Astyanax mexicanus: one gene and its partner. Each later gene encodes a partner of the first gene's protein in a complex. Links are inferred from orthologs where the notes say so. Each region holds a gene or a part of one and is shown on either strand. Other genes may lie near its edges.

What was found. Proteins that work in one complex are often made in the same cells at the same time.
Region 2: cacna1sa (region 1) and cacnb3a share a complex: the UniProt entries of both Homo sapiens proteins name them as parts of the calcium channel complex. The link is inferred for Astyanax mexicanus from reciprocal best matches to the Homo sapiens genes CACNA1S and CACNB3.

What each region holds. Positions count from the first base shown.
Region 1 is NC_064431.1:32,300,792-32,308,182, reverse strand, and holds the start of cacna1sa (calcium channel, voltage-dependent, L type, alpha 1S subunit, a), read left to right. Parts: upstream 1-4,194; 5' UTR 4,195-4,642; intron 4,643-7,391. Other genes in the region: achaete-scute homolog 5-like, read left to right, coding at 564-1,064. UniProt on the Homo sapiens protein: Pore-forming, alpha-1S subunit of the voltage-gated calcium channel that gives rise to L-type calcium currents in skeletal muscle.
Region 2 is NC_064420.1:16,644,547-16,652,556, reverse strand, and holds the start of cacnb3a (voltage-dependent L-type calcium channel subunit beta-3a), read right to left. Parts: upstream 3,129-8,010; 5' UTR 2,562-3,128; coding exon 2,481-2,561; intron 667-2,480; coding exon 574-666; intron 1-573. UniProt on the Homo sapiens protein: Regulatory subunit of the voltage-gated calcium channel that gives rise to L-type calcium currents. Increases CACNA1B peak calcium current and shifts the voltage dependencies of channel activation and inactivation.

The DNA.
Region 1 (7,391 bases):
TAATGTGTTTAATGTAAGTGTGATAGACACTGTGGTTTGTGGTCAGTGTGTAGTTTGGGTTTTTTATGTGAACTAAAGTGATATTTTACATCAAACCGACTCCTGCCTTCAGGTGCTTTTACAGAGTGTTATATTACAGTATATTACAGCGTATCGTGTTACAGAGTGCGCAGAACAGCACGTTTGAAGTGTTTTATAAGGATTAATGGAGCCTGAGGCCGTCTGTAATCAGTCTAATCTGTGTGTGTTTAATCTTCAGCCCTGTGTCTAACAGAGAGGAGATGATGAAAGCGTCTGATTGGCTGATGGCACTGCTGCTGCTACAAAGGAGGAGCTCACCTACAAAGGTGTGAAGAGACAGTGAGGATGACTATAAGAAGATGATGAGGACGATGAAGCTGGGGCTCTGGTGCGCCCTCTGCTGGGCTTAACTATGAGTTAATTGAGTGTTTTTTATTTATTTTTTTAATGCTTGTTGTGACAGTAGGTTCTGGTTCTGTGGTTCTGGTACTGTAGGTGTATTAGGAGTGTTCAGGTGGGAATGGACTGATGTAAAACCCACCATGAGCTCCACCTTCTCCCACCCATACTGCCACCTCAGCCAGAGCAGCCTGCACTGCGCCATGTCTCCGCCTGGTGGCCACCCTGATAACCGCCTCCACGCCCAGCTTCGCTCCCTCCCCCTGCTGCTGTACCCAGGAAGGGTCCAGGCCGGACTCTACAACGGCCCCTACCTGCCCTACCTGGGGCCCCTGTACGAGTGTCCCTTCGAACCCGCCTTCATCCAGAAGCGAAACGAGCGCGAGCGGCAGCGGGTGAAGTGCGTCAACCAGGGTTATGCCAAGCTCCGAGACCACCTGCCGGGCGGGACCGCCGACAAGCGCATGAGCAAAGTAGAGACACTGAGGGCCGCCATTCGCTACATCAAGCACCTGCAGAGGCTGGTGGAGGAGCGGGAGGAGGGCCGGGGTCACGACAGGTCAGACATCGCAGAAGGTAGCGACGGAGAAGCTCCACCCACAATCTCTTCGCTTGAGCTCCAAAGCAAGGCCACTGGGAGCTAGATGTGTGAACTGGGCTTGGATTCGGCCCTCACTGAACTTTAGTCCAAATATTTACAATAAACTTTTAATAAACCCCCAAGCACACACCTGAGCTGTACAGGTGTTCACCAGTACATGTGAATTTCAATTGTTACAGCGAGGTAAAACACACATGGGCAATGTAACACCTGTACTACATTGGTATACACTTGAACCTAGTTGAACAACACACAAAGAAGAAGCTATCAATAACAATAATGTGGAGAAGCTCCACCTACAAGCCCTTTAAGGCCACTGGAAGCTATATATGTAATCTGGGCTTGGATTCGGCCCTCATTGAATTTCAGAACAAACCGAGTTCAACATTTTTCAACAACATTTGCGGGCATAATCAACAACCCTACAAACTCTAATGCCGTTTTCACACCTGTGCTTAGTTTTTTATGGTCAGAATCAGTTGATGAGTTTGTTTATTTGGACGTTTTTTCCCCCTTTGGTTTGGTTTGGTTTCACACAGGCATAAAACCTAAACTCACTAAAATATGCACCAATAAACCATGCAAGGACATCATCTTCTCTGATTGGTCAAAGCTGTCTGTGCGGGAGTTAAAAAGTAAATATAGTGAGAAGATCTGTACATCTGTATATCTGTGCAGTGTAAAGCTGCTTTAAGACTGAACACGGAAACACTCCTTTTTCAAACTGTGTTTTCAAATCACAGCTGCACAGCAATGAACACAGCACAGACCTTGTGCGTAAACAGCATGGAGCAGCAGAGACAGCGTTTGTTCGTAGCTGTGGTAATTAGCGTTATCTGGCTAATATATCAGACCTTCTCTAGCAGGTCTTGATCACACCTGCTCGGTCAAACCGCATTAAGGATACAAATACTGCTGGTGTGAAAACGCTTTAAGAAATGTTATTAATACAGTAACACCTGAATCAGGAAGCATACCTGAATCAAGCAATTTACCTGAGCCAGGTAACACACATGAGCAATGTCAAAAATAAATAAATAAGCAGTGTTGTGCTAAAGTCTGGCTCTCCTTGGTGATGTGCAGAAGCGTCACGCAGCAGTATGGGTACTATAGATTACGGTGCTGGTGATTCTGTATCTACTGTAACTGTAGATTAACCCTTATTTATAAACAGAAATAAAATAATTCTGAAATGAATAAAAAAATAATAAAGACTAACTGGATTAATTATACAGAATACAATTAAGAAACACACAAACCTTCAGATGTGAAAACACCTTCTCGTTTCTGGACGTCCGTAGTTGTTCAGAGTTCTGTGGGACCATTGCTGTAGTGCACTATTGAAGACTGTGGGGCTGTGAGGGTGTTGGGGGTGTATATGAACATGAACAGGTGCTGTAAAGACAGCAGATGGAAGCTCATCACCGCAGGAACTCTCTGGATGTGTTATTGGATGTGACTTTACACCCTGTATCTGTTTTTATTTTTGTCTGTTTTAGTGTTTTTTATAATAAAGTAATATAAAAAAAATGTAATAAATAATAAATAATCTAATAAATAATGTAATAAAAACTCACCTGATTGTGAGAAATATGATGCATAAAGCAACAGTCTTTCTGAACCTGAATATGTGCACTACCTTAATATTAAAATGAATGAGTTTGATGGAAAATCTACTTCTTTATTTTTGACGTTTACAAATTATTGTAGCTAACAGGAAATAGAATCGTATACCTATTAACCAACACTGAAGATACAGAGCTAATGTAAGTTAGCTAGCAGGTAATAGAAGTTTATACCTATTAATCAGCACTGAAGTTTTTAAGGTAATGTAGCTAACAAATAGTAGAAGCTAATTAGCATTGAAGTTATGAAACTAATGTAGCTAACAGAAGCATATACCTACTAATTAGCACTGAAGCTACAAAGCTAATGTAGCTAACAAGTAATAGAAATGTATACCTATTAATTAGCATTAAGCTACAGAGTTAATGTAGCTAACAGGTAATAGAAGCATATAATAATCACTTAGTACTGAAGCTACGAAGTTAATGTAGCTAGCTAACAGGTAATATAAGCTTATACCTATTAATTAGCACTAACGCTATGAAGCTAATGTAGCTAACAGGTAAAAGAAGTATATACATACTAATTAGCACAAAAGTTATGAAGCTAATGTAGCTAACAGGTAATATAAGCTTCCTATACCTATTGATTAGCATTGGAGTTATGAAGCTAGTGTAGCTAACCAGTAATTAGCACTAAAGCTACAAACTTAATGTAGTTAACAAATAATAGAAGCCTGCACCTACTATTTAGCACTAAAGCTGTAAAGCTAATATAGCTAACAAATAATATAACTAATACCTACTAATTAGCACTAAAGCTGTAAAGCTAATATAGTTAACAAGAAATAAAAGCTTATACATATCAATTAGCACTGGAGTTAAGAAGCTGATGTTTCTAACAGGTAATATAAGCTTTTACCTACAAATTAGCACTGAAATTATGAGGCTAATGTTGCTTACAAATAATATAAGTGCATACCTATTAATTACTACAAAAGGGCAAAGACAACTCATCCAGGAGATCCCTAGAACAATCTAAAGGTCTCACTTGCCTCAGTTAAGGTCAGTTGTAATGATTTAATAATAAGAAACCCTGTGATGGGCAGGGGGTGCTTTGAAACCAGGAATTCTGCTTTGTTCATATGCTGCTGTAATTTTTTTTATAAATTGAGTAGCTTCCAGCCTCAGTGTTGTAGGCTGTAAGAGCAAGTTACTTTTGTTCTGTGTTGCTGAGGTGTTGCTGTGTTTTTACCTCGTGCTACAGTACAGTGTTCACGCTTTTTTGTACAGGATTTTACTGTTAGTGTTGAATTTACTTTATTTTCTTTAAGCTGTTTTTGTGATTGAACCTCTATAAATTGAGAATGCCATGTTTCTATAAACCTGTTTAACTTTTATATTTTAATTAATTGAGTCAAAAAAGGTTTTTTTTAATCCAGTGCGTAGGAGTCCAGTATTAATATGTTCTCCACTATGTTGGACCCGGTATATAATAGATTATAGGGGTCCCACTGCAGACCCCCTGAGTAAGTGGTGAAGCTAAACTAAGTCCTCAGTGTTGGTATGTGTGTGTGTGTGTGTGTGTGTGTCCAGTCCTGACAGGGTCGGCAGTGACCCGGCTGAGCGGCTGGGTTGGGTTCAGGCTGTAAGGTGACACCACAGGTCATTCACTTACTGATCCATCAAAGCTTCTTCTATCAGCATTTATAACTAATCTAATACTGTAATAAAACAATAACCTACACAGATTAAATACATTCTTCATTATGACCAACTATACAGACATCAAACTGTCCACACAAACACACACACACTGTGATCCTCCCCCCTTAATGAGTGACATGCATTGTCTATATTTGTTCTCTGAGAAGGACAGCTGCTCTACTGACCAACACTTCCAGAGAGAGAGAGAGAGAGAGAGAGAGAGAGAGAGAGAAAGAGAGAAAGAGAGAGAGAAAGACCGGTAGAGTCCAGCTGGGCAGATTGAATTGGGGAAGTAAAGGAGAGGAAGAAAGGTTACAACAAAATAGAGTGGAATAAACAAAAAAATCAGGTAAGTGTTACAGTCTGTGTTTTCCCCAGTTACAGCACAGTTAACAGAGTTAAATATATTTGATATGTTATATACATGTTAACAGCTTTGTTAATTGATATGATTTATTTGGGTTAATTGCTGTATTCTAGTTGGGTTAATTGGGGTACTATAGGTGGGTTATCTGGTGCGTTCTACTTAGGTTAATTGATCTGTTACAGTTGTGTCTATTGGTGTGTTATAACTGTGTTAAATGCTGTGTTATAGTTGGGTTAATTGGTGTGTTATATACATGTTAATAGCTATGTTAATTGATGTGATTTAGTTTAGTTAACTGGGGTGTTATAGATAGTTTAATTGATGTGTTATAGTTGGGTTAATTGTTGTGTTATAGCTTTGACAATTTTCTTGGGTTAATAACTGTGTTAATTGCTGTGTTATAGTTGGGTTAATTTAAGTGTTTTTCTTGGGTTAATTGGTGTGTTATAACTGTGTTAATTGCTGTGTTATAGTTGGGTTAATTTAAGTGTTTTTCTTGGGTTAATTGGTGTGTTAACTATAGTTATATTTATTGATGTGATATAATGAGATGGATTGTCTATATTATATGGGTTAATTTAGGGGTACATTAGATGGGTTAATTTGTGTGTTATAACTGTGTTAAATGCTGTGTTATAGTTGGGTTTATTTATATGTTATAGCTATGCTAATTGCTGTGTTCTACTTGGGTTGATTGATGTGTTACAGTTGGGTTAATTTGTGAGTTAAAACTGTGTTTAATGCTGTGCTATTTGGGTTTACTCTTGTGTTATAGCTATATTCATTACTGTTTATAGTTGGGTTTATTTATATGTTATAACTATGCTAATTGCTGTGTTTTTCTTTGGGATAATTGCTGTGTTTTTTCTTCGGTTAATGGGTGTGTTATAATTGTTAATTGATGTGTTATAGATGAGTTAATTGGTGTGTTTAGTTGGGTTAATTGCTGTGTCGGGTCTCAAGAGGTTAAAGCAGGTGTGATAAATCAAGGTGTATTATAGTGTGTGTTATAGTAGGTGTGTTAAATCAGGGTGTATTATACTGTGTGTTATAGCAGGTGTGATGAATCAGGGTGTATTATACTGTGTGTTATAGCAGGTGTGATAAATCAGGGTGTTATATATTAGTGTGTGTTATGGTCTGTGTATTATTAGTATGTTTTATAGTGTGTGTTATTGCAGGTGTGATGAATCAGGGTGTATTATAGTGTGTGTTATAGCAGGTGTGGTAAATCAGGGTATGTTATAGTGTGTGTTATAGCAGGTGTGATGAATGAGGGTGTATTATAGTGTGTGTTATAGCAGGTGTGATAAATCAAGGTGTTATATATTAGTGTGTGTTATGGTCTGTGTATTATTAGTATGTTTTATAGTGTGTGTTATAGCAGGTGTGATGAATCAGGGTGTATTATAGTGTGTGTTATAGCAGGTGTGATAAATCAGGGTGTTATATATTAGTGTGTGTTATAGCAGGTGTGATGAATGAGGGTGTATTATAGTGTGTGTTATAGCAGGTGTGATAAATCAGGGTGTGTTATAGTGTGTGTTATAGCAGGTGTGATGAATCAGGGTGTATTATAGTGTGTGTTATAGCAGGTGTGATAAATCAGGGTGTGTTATAGTGTGTGTTATAGCAGGTGTGATGAATCAGGGTGTATTATACTGTGTGTTATAGCAGGTGTGATGAATAAGGGTGTATTATACTGTGTGTTATAGCAGGTGTGATAAATCAGGGTGTTATATATTAGTGTGTGTTATGGTCTGTGTATTATTAGTATGTTTTATAGTGTGCGTTATAGCAGGTGTGGTAAATCAGGGTGTATTATAGTGTGTGTTATAGCAGGTGTGATAAATCAGGGTGTGTTATAGTGTGTGTTATAGCAGGTGTGATGAATCAGGGTATGTTATAGTGTGTGTTATAGCAGGTGTGATGAATGAGGGTGTATTATAGTGTGTGTTATAGCAGGTGTGATGAATCAGGGTGTGTTATAGTGTGTGTTATAGCAGGTGTGATGAATCAGGGTGTATTATACTGTGTGTTATAGCAGGTGTGATGAATCAGGGTGTATTATAGTGTGTGTTATAGCAGGTGTGATGAATCAGGGTATGTTATAGTGTGTGTTATAGCAGGTGTGATGAATGAGGGTGTATTATAGTGTGTGTTATAGCAGGTGTGATGAATCAGGGTGTGTTATAGTGTGTGTTATAGCAGGTGTGATGAATCAGGGTGTATTATACTGTGTGTTATAGCAGGTGTGATGAATCAGGGTGTATTATAGTGTGTGTTATAGCAGGTGTGATGAATCAGGGTATGTTATAGTGTGTGTTATAGCAGGTGTGATGAATGAGGGTGTATTAAAGTGTGTGTTATAGCAGGTGTGGTAAATCAGGGTATGTTATAGTGTGTGTTATAGCAGGTGTGATGAATGAGGGTGTATTATAGTGTGTGTTATAGTAGGTGTGATAAATCAGGTGTATTATACTGTGTGTTATAGCAGGTGTGATAAATCAGGGTGTATTATAGTGTGTGTTATAGCAGGTGTGATGAATCAGGGTGTGTTATAGTGTGTGTTATAGCAGGTGTGATGAATCAGGGTGTATTATACTGTGTGTTATAGCAGGTGTGATGAATCAGGGTGTATTATAGTGTGTGTTATAGCAGGTGTGATGAATCAGGGTATGTTATAGTGTGTGTTATAGCAGGTGTGATGAATGAGGGTGTATTAAAGTGT
Region 2 (8,010 bases), on another chromosome or scaffold:
GCATTATAATGGGTAGGTTTGCCACAATAGCTAATATATTGCCCCAGAGCAAATGGTGATAAATAATATTACTGTCACTTTAAGAGCATTTTATGCCCCTGGTATAATGATTAAATCATGGTATAAGAATACAATTACACTCTTTTGAAAAGAAATTAGCTTTTATACAACCAGAACAGTGGATGTGTGAAAGCTAATGTCAACACTGCCCTCTAGTGTTCAGGATTTAAAACTCAACACAAAATGAATCTGAGTCTGATAAGTTTATGCCACTCCTGATGCAAAAATTCAAGCAGTTGAGCTTGGTTTGATGGCTTCTGATTATCCATCTTCCTCTTGATTATATTCCAGAATTTTTCAATTTGGTCAAATTAAAGAAACTCATCATTAATTTTATGCGGTCTCTTATTTTTCTCCAGAGCTGTATATAATTTTTTGATGGTGATGATGAGATAGATGATGGTGAAAGTACTTCTGGTTTCTGCTTAATATTATGAATACCATCCTTCTCAATTTTATCCTAACATCCTCCCCATATCACAGGGGTACAGCAGATGAACAGATGGCGCTTACCTGGCGCTTAATGAAGCTGGACGTGGTGTCAGAGGAGGTGCTGCCATCCGAGCGTTTAAAGCGGCTTTTGCGTTTTGGCAACTTTCTCGGCAACTACATAAAAAAATACAAATTACATCTCAGAAAATGGGAAACATCTTCACAAAAACATGTGTTTTTCAAAATTTGGTAATTTGTACAAGATTTGAGGCCTAAAACCCTAAATGCAGGTGAAATAGGCCTATAACAAATATGAAGACTGGAACAGTAAAATTTATGAAGGCACAGTACATGTCTTAACAATAGCCACTGACAATATATTTTTATATATACATTTTTATATATCATATATAATATATATATATTTTTATATATTATATATATATGTATTTTGTTTGTCAGTAAACTGCTGGTTGAATTTGTATAAGACGGTGAAATAAAGTTTTTATGCTGCTATTACAATTATTTCACAAATTGTGCCATCCCTTCGAAAACCATTTTTTTTCCCACACAAACCACCTGTGCACCTGGGAATTAAATCTCACACCAACGTAACCTGTCTGGTATTACTATAATTCATCATTCTTTCTGTTTGCACCAAAAAGTCACTTTTAGTAGGACAGTAGTAAACTTTAGCTATATATATATTTTTTATAGCAAGCAGCTCCCTTCAACCTTACAAGCAGTTTTTACTGTATATTTAACACAGTGCCAGCATAACCTTATATTTCAGTTAAGGAAAAGTGCAAAATATGAAAATCACTGCAACATAAAAGAGTTTTTTTTGACAAAAACACAAGCCTATCTAATAAGATCCACCTGGCAGCATATCTATATGCAATTCTTTTTTGAAAATCACATTAAAATAGTCATTTGGATCAACAGAATTAATTAAATAAAGCCATTTCCTAGCATCTCACGTTTCACAGATGAATCCTACAAAACAGTTTTCTAATAACCTGCTTTAATAAATTAATGTAAACAGTCAGGGTTTAACCCCTGTGGGTCTGGCTTAACTAAAACCTAGAAACCTCATTTATTATGAGACATTCACATGCCTGATCTTGGTCCTGGTGCCTTGTTGCCCTGCTTTTACACACCACTGCTGCTTTAAAAAGGCTTATAAAAGATCTGGGGCGGTTTTCCCAAAAGGTTGAGCAAGCTTTACACTGAGCTCTTTCTCTTTCTGTTAAAATGTTTTTAATGCTAAGATGCTTTTGGGAAACTGGGCCCAGACTGGTTGAATCAGGTGTGTTGGGATCAGGGACAGTGATGAATATGTGCAGGGCAAGGAGGCACTGGGACCAGGGTGGAGGAACACTGGTTTAGGTCGAGCTTCACAGGAGGAACCTGCAGATAAAGCCTCCCTGCAGCCAAACTTCAGCCTGTGTGTTTACTGGGAGCGGTGGAGCCTCCTGCTGACTGGTGTGGATGGTGTAGAAGGAGGGTGCTGCTGCTGCTGATGATGATGCTTACAGGTGAAGAACTTTAAGTGATAAACGAGGTGAAGATGGATGGAGCTGTTTTTTCTTCTGAAAGAGGACAATTGTGAAGTGTTTTTTCGTGTATAAACACAAACACACACTCTCGTACCTACACACACACAGATAAGCTACACAAGCTAGTCAGCTAATTCCCAGCACAGCAGTGATGGAGGCCTCAGAGCTGCGGAGGAAATCTCAGCCCTTAGCTAAAGTGAGCTTCACCGGGTTAAACCGGGCTATAGGGCCGCTTCTCCTATCCCTGCGCCCGTAAAGGGCCGCGGTGCGGTAACGGCGGGTCTGGCAGCGTCTGCACGCCGCGGCTGTGGATCCAGCCCCCGGTAGGAGACGCTGCTGCTGCCCCGGAGCTCCAGCCCCAGCCAACCCAGAGCTGGAGAGACCCTCCCCGCGGCGGTAGTACAAGCGAGCGGCCCCGGCTACACCTACCTGAAAATAGTGGGACTGGGAGCCGGTCTCGGTACCGGGCAGCGGGTCTGCGGCCGATTTGGACATTTTCACTTGGACCATGTATCTGCGCGCGCAGGGCGGCGGGCGAGGGGCTGAGCGGAGGAGGCGGAGGGAGCGCGCACATTCGGGGGGAGCGGAGCGAGCATCCGCCCGCAGGAGCAGCGCTGGAGCCGGGAGAGAGCGGGTCTGATCCGCCGCGGAACCATTAAAAACCCGGAGCCCGGGGAGCACAGAGACCCAGCGCCGAGAGAGAGAGAGCCGAGCGATAGATCCGCATCCTCTCTCTCTCTTTACACCTCTCTATCTCTACCACTCTCTCTATCTCTACCTCTCTCACTCTACCACTCACTCTCTCTCTTTCTCCATCTCTCTCTACCTCTCTTACTCACTCTCTCTTTCTCTATCTCTCTCTACCTCTCTTACTCACTCTCTCTCTACTATCTCTCTACCTCACTCTCCCTACCACTCTATTTCTCACTCTCTCTTTACCAGTCTCTCTCCCTACTTTTACCACTGTCTCTATCTCTACCGCTCTCGCACTCTCTCTCTCTTACTTTTCTTTGTTTTAGAACTTAAAATGTGTGTGTGTGTTTTTTTTAGATATTTCGTATAATAAAGAATATTCCAGTTCCTTTCTAATACAACATCATGAACAATAAGTATTATAATAAATAAAAGATTAAAATGAAGAGAAAACACATCATCACCCCAAATTATATCCCCATCCAGTCCAGTGATTCAAACTGGAAGCAAATTCAGGTATATTTTACAGTTTTTCTGGATTGTTTACACACAATTTCTGGTACTTGAGACACTATGACCACAACATGTAACTTACACACCTACTGCTTGAACCAGTTCTGCTAAACTACAAGCACAATTCCTGATTTACACTCAAATTGCAGTTATAAAAAACACACTTTTTCAAAACACATACACAATTTTCTGCATTTGGCACAATTTTCCTGAATAAAATCTCTTGTTTTCACAAGGAACACACTGTTATTCAAAACTTTAAAGTTAATTACCCTACTATGCACACTGACTGGTCACATGGGCAAACACCCTTCACACAGGTTTACAATCAGCAACTTAAGCTTTAGCAGACCGAAACAGAAGACAGGATGCAGCATAGTTTTACATTATACAATAAATTCTTCTGTTGTTTTGTATGTAAACCACTGCATCTTTGTGGTGGTTGCATGGTACACTGTGTACATTGTTTTGGTTGGAAAAATAAAATGTATTTTTACTGTATATTTCTGTGTTCTGAGTATAAAAACGATATTATTAAATATTTTACAACGCACTTATGTATTTACTGTCTGTAGTAAGTGTAAAACTGAACAAAAAGTCATTATGATAAATGGAGAATAGTGTTTTACACTGAGAACATCAGTGTTCAACTGCTTTTTTAGCTTGTCTTTTTATATGATGGTGTGTGTGTGTGTGTGTCATCTGAACACAAAATACCCTTTTGTAAAGAGATAACACTTTTGAATGTAAAGTTTTATTTTGCAGGAGAACTGAAGGGTTTTGCCCATTGTGTGCGTGTTTGTTGGATTTGTGTGTAGAGTTCTGTGAATATGAGGCATGTTTTCAGAAAATGTGTGTAAACAATTCAGAAAAACTGTAATGGAATGGTTATTGGTTCTTTTAATCCTAATCGAATTGCGAGGCTTTGTTTTAATCTTGTTTCATAGCACCATCTGGTGTCCTCAAGACTGTATTACTAGAAATCCATACTGTTTTATTTTAAAGGGACTGAAAACACTTTCTAAAATATTACACTGAATATCTTCATACTTACCTGAGATAAATTTAGTCCTGTCATGCTAAAATTTCACATAGATGAAAACGATCAAAGGAAATTAAAACATATCTTTGAAACAAAACAAGGTCATAAATAACAGTTCAACAACTGCAACCTAAGCGATAGGTTTACTACAATTGTCCACCCTGTCGTGCAGGTTGCCATAACATGGTGAATGTATGCATGACAGGAAAATAAAAAGGCCAAAAGGCACAGTATTCTGATAATGAGCAGCTGAGGGACAAGTGACTACATCAGGATAATCTCTGAAGAATAGCTCCTTCCGTCCAAACGGAATCTCAGACCAGGGAGACAGCTTACCTTTCAACATCACAACAGCCTAAAGCACAACACGTACAACACTGAAGCAGCTTCAGGATAAGACTGTGTATATCCTTCAGTGATGCTGCCCCAGCCTAGACATAAACCACAATCGCACTTCTGCTATAGTCTGAAAACATTTGGGTTTAACATTAAAAGATGTACATAAGACAAAAGATAAAAAAAATAGATTTTTTTCCCCCAGATATTTCCATCTGGATCTGATATCTGACAGTTCAGAAGATAGCCCTTTTTTTAATGAATTTAGTTGTAATTCTTTGTTTGCAGTTACATCACTAACCATGTGCATTCTTCTTTCATTGTAGCAAGTTTAGGTGGGTTAGTTTTGGGGAGGTTTCTCCCTTTAGTCTTCTCTTTAGCAAGAAAAATGCATGATCTAAAGGGTTAAGTCTTGAGATTGACCCGGCCAGTCTAAAACCTTTTACTTATGACTTCCGGTATGGCGCCGACACTAGCAGCAGCTTAAGTTTCAGGCTCCCAGACGGTCTTACTCCCCCTTCAACAAATACTGAGGATTCAAGTAGATTTTTTTTTCTTTTTATGCCATGAAAGGGGGGCACAAGAGAAAGACAAGAGGAAATTTGGATCAAAACCCCAAAACGGACGACAAACCCTCGAATGTAAGTGAAAACGCCAGCGACGACGCTAGCAATCTCACCGAGTATCAAGCTATGGAAGCTATCCAAGCTAACATCATTACTGAGATAAAGGAGATCCGTTCGGACGTGAAAAAAGAACTCGGCGAAACTGTGCTTATGTTGAAAAAGGAACTGGTGGGCTTTAGAGAAGAAGTCAATCAGAAGCTGAACTCTATCAGATCTGACCTGAAAGAAATAACTGGTAGAGTCGAGGAGACGGAGCAGCGAGTAGCCGAAATGGAGGAGTGGAGCACCGAAGCTAAGCAGGTGCTCTCCCACACTTTGGAGCTCCAGGAGAGCATTCAAGCTCAGCTAACAGACCTAGAGGCGCGCTCACGCAGAAATAATATACGCATACATGGGATTGTGGAGGGAGCCGAGGGAGAGAATATGGAGGTATTTCTGGAAAAGTTTATCACAACAGAGTTGTCCCTCCCCGACGCTACCCTCGGTATACAGCGCTCCCACCGGTCTCTCGGACCCAAACCACCGCAAGGCTCTAACCCGAGGTCTATAGTGGTCTGTTTCCAGGAGTATAAAACCAAAGAGCTGGTGCTCCGCTCCGCTTGGAAAAAGAAGGAGATACACCATAGTGGCAGAAGGGTGTTTTTTGAGCAAGACTACCCGTCTGAAATACTGGGAAAAAGAAAAGCCTTTTCCACAATCAGGAAAGCGCTTAAAGAAAGGGGGCTCCGTTTCCAGACCATTTACCCAGCGAAACTCCGGGTCTTTTTGGACACCGGACCAATTGTTTACAACAGCGCTGCGGAGGCGAGAGAGGATCTGAAGAAAAGAGGAATAGACTCTCTTGAAGCTGAGGTCACTGAACGAGGCGCACACTCGTTGAGAATGAAAGATCTCTCATGGGAACCAGCGGGAGGAACATCACGCAGGCAACGCGAGGCTCGATTTAGGCATATTCAGGAGAAGCTGAAGGGATTCCGCCACCATGCCGATACTACACGAGAGCCCGCAAACATTTAAAGAACTGGATAGCTTCCCATAACATCTGGTAAAAGCACTTATTTAGTAACTTGAACACTTTGGACACTGAAATATAAAACTTACGTGAGAATTTCCTGTTATAAGCCCAAACTTTGAAACTGACCGTATGTCTGGTGATTGATGTTTGCGTTTTATGTGCACTGTTCTGATGCCGAACGGCCAGAAATACCAGATCGCACAGGGAAGGGCCCCTCTAGGTCGTAGGGCTTCCCTTCCTAATTCAGAAGTTGAGTTCATACTTCAGAAATGGAAGTCACTTTTGTTGAACTTGTGTATTAGTCAGTTAAGTTTCCTTTTATGTTTCAGGCAGATTCATTGTTCAAAGCATCTAGTGATATTTAAATACTGTGGTAAAGAGTTTTTCATTCTTTGACAAGGGAAATGCATCATCAAAAATATAAAATAATTACTCTTAATGTGAACGGGTTACATAATCCTATCAAACGAAGTAAGGCAATATCTAAAATGAAAAAAGAAAAACATGATATAATTTTTTGGCAGGAGACACATCTTTCGAATATTGAACATGAGAAGTTGCGAAAAATGGGATTTAAAAACCTATATTATTCTTCTTTTGAAAAGAAAAACACAAGAGGGGTAGCTATACTTATCCCAAACAGAATTAATTTCCAGTTTTCATCACAGATTATCGATAAAGAGGGACGTTACATAATGGTGAAGGGACTTCTTGATCACAAAGAAATTACATTGCTGAATGTATACAGACCACCAGGTAGCGATAAAAAACTGATTAAGAAGATTTTTAATATGATATTGTTAGAAACATCAGGGGTGCTGATATGTGGTGGGGACTGGAATATTCATTTACACCCCTCCTTAGACTCCTCAAGTAGAATAAAGACTATAAACCCTGATGCAAAATACATTAATAAATTACTTAAAGAATCGGGTTTGGTAGATATGTGGAGGGATCTTCATCCACTTGATAAACATTTCACTTTCTTTTCCCATGCGCATTCCGTTTATACAAGGATTGATTATTTTTTCATGTTTAACTCAGACAGACATAGGATTCTGAACTGTGAAATAGGGATAAGAGACATCTCTGACCATGCAGGTGTATATTTAACATTACATTTGGACAATATGCCCAAGGAGACTGCATGGAGGCTTAACACCAGTGTTCTGAATGACCCTCAGTGTGTAAAATATATAAAGAAAGAATTTGAAGACTACATGATTAATAACAATAATGAAACAGTAAGCCCCAGCATATTGTGGGATGCTGCAAAAGCTGTAATTAGAGGTAAACTTATAATGTGGACAGCTCAAAAACAGAAGGAAAGAGGAAAAGAAATTAGAGATTTAACCGAAACATTAAAACACCTGGAAAGTAAACACATGATACATAATGAAGCTAGTGTTTTAGATCAGATTCGAAATACAAAGCAACATTTAAATGAATTGTATGAAAATAAAATAGAGCAGAAATTGAAACTAATTAAACAAAATTATTATGAGAATGGCCCAAAATTCAAAAAAATATTGGCATGGAGATTGCGTAAACAACAAGCAGAGAGATTTATACAAAAAGTAAAGGACCCCCAGACTAATAAAATGTGTGACAAAATGGAAGACATACAACATTCTTTTGAAAAGTACTACACAAAGTTATATGCCCAACCCTCAGCAGCTGAATTAGAAGACACATTACAATTTTTGATGTCTTTGGACTTACCATCAATAGGAA